2 linked regions of the Rattus norvegicus genome follow. The protein of the gene in region 1 binds, or shares a complex with, the protein of each later gene. Links are inferred from orthologs where the notes say so. Each region holds a gene or a part of one and is shown on either strand. Other genes may lie near its edges.

Region 1 (4,363 bases):
CCTACATGGGGAGGTTAAGCATTTTTTTAGGTTTTATGTAGATGGATGTTTTGATATTTTGTTTTGGTTTTTGAAACAGAGTCTCACTATGTAACTCTGGCCATTCTAAAATTCATTATGTAGACCAGGCTGGCCTGGAACTCACAGAGATCTGCCTGTGTCTCCAGAGTGGTGAGATTTAAACACACGTACAACCCTTTCCGATCTTGTTTTTGCCTGAAGGTATGTTTGGGCGCTTTATGTGTACCAATGGATGGATGTGAGCCACCAGAGATACAGGTACTGGGAAGTGAACCCCGGCCCTGTGGACGAAACAAGTGTTATTAGTGGTTAAGCAATCCCTCCAGCCCTAACGGTTTTTAAAGTATTTTTTATGTACAATGAAGTACAACTAAGTGTGTAGAGCTGGTGCACATACATCCTCCTGAATTATTCTGTTTTAATTTTTACTTCTAGATTTTTCTCTGTCAGAGAGGCTAGAGTTGGCTTCTCAGCACCCACAAGGGTATGGCTCCCACCTGCCTATAACTCCAGTCCAGGACATTCATATCTTCAGGGACCTGCCCTCACATGCACATATGTGCCTGCAGATACATACATATGACTAATTAAAATGGTAAAAATAAAGTTGTTTTAAGGGCTAGAGAGATGGATCAGCAGTTAAAAATACACGTTGCTCCTCCAGAGGACCTGAGTTCATTTCCTAGCACCCACATGGCAGGGTATAACTTTCTGTAACTCAAATTCCAGAGATTCCAATCCCCTCTGTTGGCCTTACCACCAGGCATGAACACACAGTACACAACACGTACATGCAAACAAAACATTCATGCACATACAATTTTAGAATCTTTTTAAAAATGAATAATGTTTTTATTTAAATTAAGTTATCAAAGAATAATATTGAAGGTAATTGTCTGAGTTCTAAATCTGTAATGAACCTTTTAGTTTTGGTGGTGGATGATTGCATTTAAAATATATTTGATAATAAAATAAATGTATATTAGATAGTGAAAGTATAATATCTAATACGAAGTTCCACAGTTTCAGCATGGCTACGCTAAAAGCACAAAAGTACATTGGGCTGTCTAATTTTTGGGGCCAGATTAATTTCGGTGTGTGATAATTTTTTTTTATTTGAAACACTTTTATAATAAAGTTTTTATAAAAAAATAAAACCCTTAATTTTTTAAAGAAAATTTCCTCTGGGATTACACAGTTATTGCACAAATATATTGTCAGTGCCCTTAGACTTATTTGGCATTGGAAATGTGTCTTTTTGTCAAAGGGTTTGGTCTTTGTTCAGAGCTGCCTGCATGAATGAGCGTCACAAGCTCTTTTAGCCCAGGGGATAGTGTGTCCTCCTGCTGACGAGAATTGGCTATCTGCAGCCACCGTCTCCCACATGAGGTCTTATCCAATCAGAACTTCACAGGAAGGGGCGGGCCTGAGGAGCGCGCAGTGTGCTTTCTGCTGAACCTTCTTGCTGGCTTCAGCATGGAGGAAATTTATGCTAAGTTCGTGTCTCAGAAAATTAGCAAAACCCGCTGGCGGCCAGTGCCTTCCGGAAGCCTGCAGACCACAGAGACCTTCGCCACGGGCTCCTGGGACAATGAGGTACCCGGACTTGGGCGGGCCCCAGCTGCTGTGCTCCACGCCCCCCGCACTGGCGCGGGAAAGCGAGCTTGCCAGTCTGGTTTGGCTGCCCGCTACTTGAGAGCCCCCGATGGCGTGTCTGAGCCTCGGATCTGGTTTTAAACCCTCAGCAAGTCTGTAGTCATACCGTCCGAACTTGGCCATATCTTTGATCTTTTCCACTCTAACCATATCGTTTGTCTGAGATGCTGTTGAAGCAAGGTCGCCTGAAAGGCAATCTAGAGTTGACGTTTTCGTCACCTCAAGATAAAACTGTCCGCTTTGCAGGAAAATTGCGTTTCACTGTGGTCTATTGGAGAGTTTGGAAACTTGGATTCTGACGGAGGGTTTGAAGGAGACCATCAGTTATTGTGCGATATCAGACATCATGGGGATGTCATGGACTTACAGGTAAATCTGAGTTGTCTGCCAAAGCTAGCTTTGGGAATTTGAGGCTATATTTAGAGGTAACGAGGCACCTTATAGTTTGTCTGCCCTCATCCCTGATTTACAGGACACTAATCTATGAAATCTGCCCCCTCATTGTTTAGGCACTTAGTCACAGAAGTGGGGCTGGGAAATGGAATTCAGGTAAGCCAGTTTTAAAACGAATTGCCCAAGCCAGACATGGTGGTTCAAGCCTCTAATTCCAGTTCTTGGGATGCAGAGGCAGGAGGGATCTCAAGGCCAGCCTGGGCTACATAGCAAGACCTTATCTTAAATAACAATAATATTTGTCTATCTATGTGCCAAATGCTTTTGGCGAGTTTGATACAGGTCTGCTATTTTGTATTGCACATCTGTGAGTCAGGGTTATCATTGTGAAGATGGTCTAAAGACCAGATGAATGTAGAGAAGTGCTCTCTACTTCTAGTGTATGTATCCCCACCCTCAAGTGCTAGTTACTACTTTACTTGGTCAGATAAATGGGGCTGGTATCTTTTGAGCATACATAGTAAATATCGTGCGGAATTGTTCTTATGAGATTCTTTAACAACTTGGCGTTTCCATTTTAAAGGTTTATCAAAATGTGAACCAGTAATAAATTTTCAAAGCTGGGCTAGTGATAGATGCTTGTAGTCCCAGCTACTTAGGAAACTGAAGTAACAAGTCAAGATGAGTTTGGGCAATAGAGACCACCAGCATCACCCACCCCACCAGGAGCTCGCCTCAATCAAAAAACAAATCTGTATATGGATTCAGATGTCATATATTTTACTTGGTAAAAAATTTGCTTAATATATATATATAGGTTATTTGCTTCTTTAAATTTGTATAGGGTTTGCTATAAGTCAGGTTGAGCCAGTGAACTTTTTTCCCTGTTAATATTTTAAAGTAATCTATAATAATATGCAGAAATTTTCTGTTTAGTTTTTTGACCAGGAAAGAATTGTAGCTGCTTCGTCAACAGGATGTGTAACAGTTTTTCTTCACCATCCAAATAACCAGGTAAAGAATTTTGTTGGGGAGAAGCCAGGTCTTCATTAAGAGAGAGGATCCACTACCTAGAGAACTTTCTGTTGTGGCTGGGATGATCAATCAGCAATTGAGTGTGTATTGCTCTCAGAGACCCATGGTCCTACTCCAAGAACTCAAATCATTGGCAATAGCCTATAGCTCCACTTTGTCCAGATCTAAATCCCATGGGCCTGGAAAGGCACCTGCACATGTATAGTGCACATAAACTTAGGCAGGCACACGTGCATGCACATACCTTTTTTTGTTATTTTTGTTTTTTAAGACAGGTTCTCACTATGTAGATCTGGCTGGTCTGGAACTCCCTATGTAGACCAACCCGGCCTACATTGGCTTCCCAAGTGTGTGGCACTATACCCAGCTTTAATTAGTTTTCTTAATGGAATCATATAGAAAAATGTAGAGGTTAGCCCCTTACACATGAGTTTAATCTCATAAAACTTTAGAGAATGTATCAGCATTCAGTTATTTGGTAAAAATCATTAGTTTGAGATAAATGTGCTGAGTCTATTCAGAATGTACCAAAAAAAAAAAAAAAAAAAATAAGGGAAGTAGTTTCTAAACATCAGTATGCTCAAATACAAAGAAAAGGGAGACTTGTTCTTTCTTCTAGAGGGACATGAAATACAACTGAAAAATACTATTATTAGGCAGGCATAGTGGCTCACCTGTAATCCTAAACACTTGGAAGTTTGTCTCAAAATACAAAACTTCCTAGCGAGAAGGGCTTTCATTAGAACTTGGCTCTGATTAACAGTGTGCTCATTTCTGATGCCTAGACCCTGTCCGTCAGTCAGCAGTGGCCTACAGCTCACTACCATACAGGTCCTGGCAGCCCTTCCTATAGCAGTGCACCATGTACAGGAATTGTATGCGACAATCCAGAAATCGTTACAGTTGGAGAGGATGGCCGAATAAATCTCTTCAGAGTTGATCACAAGGAGGCTGTAAGAACTATAGGTAAGGAGTCCTATTTCTTCTATCCATTACATAGTAATTGGACTAAGTAAACATGATCTTAAAAGTTTGAAGGGTATGAAAATTACACTTGGCAGGATCCTTGATAAGATAGTGTGTGGGTAGTCCAGTGTAAATGATTTATAACAGCAGAAGGATGTATTAGGTGGTAGTGTTTTGTTTTAGCTAAAATTATCACATAATTAGGGGACAGTGGCAATTAGTATATTCTCAATTCTATACCATAAATAATACTAAAATATGACACTAGAAAATGTGGAATAGCATGGAGATG
Region 2 (2,682 bases), on another chromosome or scaffold:
CCATCTGTTCTCTGTACCAACTGAATCTCAGCTGGGTTCTGCCAGCGTTCAGTTCTAGGCTGAGACATAATTGGCGTGAGGAAGTCATAGCTTCTGACAAACATGGAGGGCTCCTTTCTGTCCTCTGGTCGCTCAGTGAGCCACAGCCTCACCATTCCTTAGGTTGGCAGGTCAGTGAGCTCCCAGGGTCTACCGGTCTGCACTCCCCAGGGCGGGGCAGGGTAGGAGCTTTGAAGTCAGGTCTCCCCACTCAGCCGAGGCTTTAAGGAGAAGAGCTGCTAACACATGCTGAGATGAGAAGGCCTCCTCTGCAGTTCTCACAAACCATACATAAGTCACTGGTTTCAAAAATATTTGATCATATCTCTGAACTTTGGATTATTTCATAATAATCTATGGAAATATATAAATATATAATTTATTTCATATTCACTGGTGTTTGGCCTGCATGTGTGTCTGTGTGAGGGGGTTAGAAGCCCTGAAACTGGAGTTACAGACAGGCATGAGCTGCCATGCAAGTGGTGGAAATTGAACCTGGGTCATCTAGAAGAACAACCAGGGCCTTTAACCACTGAGCCATCTCTGTAGTCCCAATCTATGGGATTTTAATACTATACTGATTATATTTCATTCTTAATAATAACGAAGTCCTGGTAATTTTTACTAGCGATATTTCAGACATGATTTAAAAATAAAACAAAAAAACCAGCAAATTACAAATGTCTCACTGTTCTTAGCTTTTTTTGCTTTTCCTGTCATTTAAGGCTGCCTAATGATAATACAATGGAATAAAATGACAAAAACCAAAATATGTTAATGCAAATAAAAAACGAAAACATAACAAAATAACATGTAACTGGCATGTTCAAGACATATTAGTGATCTTGGTGTGCACACATAGGTCTATGCGCACTTGTACAGAGCACCACAGGGGAGGAGGCAGGCAGCACAAGCCATCCTGACCTTGAGGTAGACTGGTAGACTGGCTACATGGTTTCTGTGAATTACAAACATTTCCTAAGTGGTTGAAAAATAAATTTCCTGCTTACCTAAAGCAAAAGACAAAGCAACTACTTAGTAGGGAAAAGAAAATAACCCCTATAAAGCAACAGAGAGACAAAAGAGGAAAACCAATCCCCCACAGTCCTATGTAAAGAGGAGGGCAGGGAAGTCATCCTGGCCGTGGAATACACTAAATCAAGGATTCACACAACCGCAGCAGAAACCGCACATTACCTAAACGAGTGTGCGCGATCCATGTGGACAGGTCTTGTCTCTTGAGGATAACTAAAAAATAAGAGTTTACGTTGTACAAAATATGTGTTAGATTCAAGTAGATGAACTTCAATGAAGGTTTTTAAGGTGTTTTCTTTTTGGAGCCCAATATATTTAAGCTGTAACAAAATTCCAAGCAAGCGCTCAATTGGAAATAGCGAGCAATGGACACGGCTTAGAGCCGCTCTGGGCTCTCCAGGGACAGCATCTCTTCTTTTTCTACAGGAGACACTTGTTTTCATTGCACATGGAGTCTACAAGAATGGCTAAATGGGTCATTTGACAACATATTTATGTAACAGAACAGACAGACATACTACATAACTACCTGGACCGAGTGATATCCCAGATAATCCAATCATTTCCTGCAACAGCACCAACTTTGAAGGTGTTTTTCAAGCACCAGTGTGCTGACATTAATGGTGTCTGTTCTGACTGAAGAGATAAAATTGCCTGCTGGGCCATTAGATCATAAAACCGGATTGTTCCGTTCTTCTCTGCGACCATTAGCTGTAATACAGGACGGAAGAAGAAAAGCCCGCATGTGTCTCGTTAGCCAAGTTTGAGAAAGAAGCAGAGATTACATGTCATAAAGACATATATCACACACATGTATATATACACACACATATCACACACATGTATGTGTATATACATACATATATATATATATACACACACACACACATATCACACACAGAGGCAGACGCATAGGAAATGAAGCAGTGAGTGTCAGAGGTACCTATAGACTTGGACAAGCACCTAGTAAATACTGAACTCTTAAATTAGGAGAGAGTAGCTATTATTAGTTCCTCTCTATTTCCTTTTTATAAGATTCCAATAATTAAAAAAAAGTTTCCCATAATTTTAAATGTTTAATAAATTGTTATCAAGATGTGAAATATGTAACCAAATTCAAAAATTTATAAAGTAAATGCCAATTAAAAAAATTACAGTATGAAAGTTGTTTCTTAGACTTATGAAAGCATGTCATACAATATGATTTATAATGGACAAGATTTCTCCAATTCTGCTGGATACAGCATTAATCCCTAATATCCAAAGAATATCTTTATCTACTGTGTAAAGTGCCTTCTTTCTGAGAAGGTTCGTCTAATTTTGCTGATTTAAAGGTGCAGACATCTAGAAGTGTGAGGTAGCAGTGACGAGGTGGAAGAAGGGGGGAGTGGCGTCAGAAATCTCACTTCTAGTATTTAAGGTATTGAATGGTTTGGAGTTTGCTTTGTAATTATTTACAAGAGGGAAAGCAAATCACAAACAGAATGCACAAAGAAAAATACACACACACATACACACACACGTATACACACATATACACACACATATGTACACACACACATATGTATACATACACACATATAGGTATTCATCAGGACTAGTTTCAAG

The links.
Region 2: Nup43 (region 1) and Nup37 share a complex: the UniProt entries of both Homo sapiens proteins name them as parts of the nup107-160 subcomplex of the nuclear pore complex. The link is inferred for Rattus norvegicus from reciprocal best matches to the Homo sapiens genes NUP43 and NUP37.

What each region holds. Positions count from the first base shown.
Region 1 is NC_086019.1:3,966,996-3,971,358, forward strand, and holds the start of Nup43 (nucleoporin Nup43), read left to right. Parts: upstream 1-1,470; 5' UTR 1,471-1,497; coding exon 1,498-1,617; intron 1,618-1,923; coding exon 1,924-2,046; intron 2,047-3,006; coding exon 3,007-3,084; intron 3,085-3,890; coding exon 3,891-4,071; intron 4,072-4,363. UniProt on the Homo sapiens protein: Component of the Nup107-160 subcomplex of the nuclear pore complex (NPC). The Nup107-160 subcomplex is required for the assembly of a functional NPC.
Region 2 is NC_086025.1:24,485,069-24,487,750, reverse strand, and holds part of Nup37 (nucleoporin Nup37), read right to left. Parts: intron 1,786-2,682; coding exon 1,604-1,785; intron 1,288-1,603; coding exon 1,237-1,287; intron 1-1,236. UniProt on the Homo sapiens protein: Component of the Nup107-160 subcomplex of the nuclear pore complex (NPC). The Nup107-160 subcomplex is required for the assembly of a functional NPC.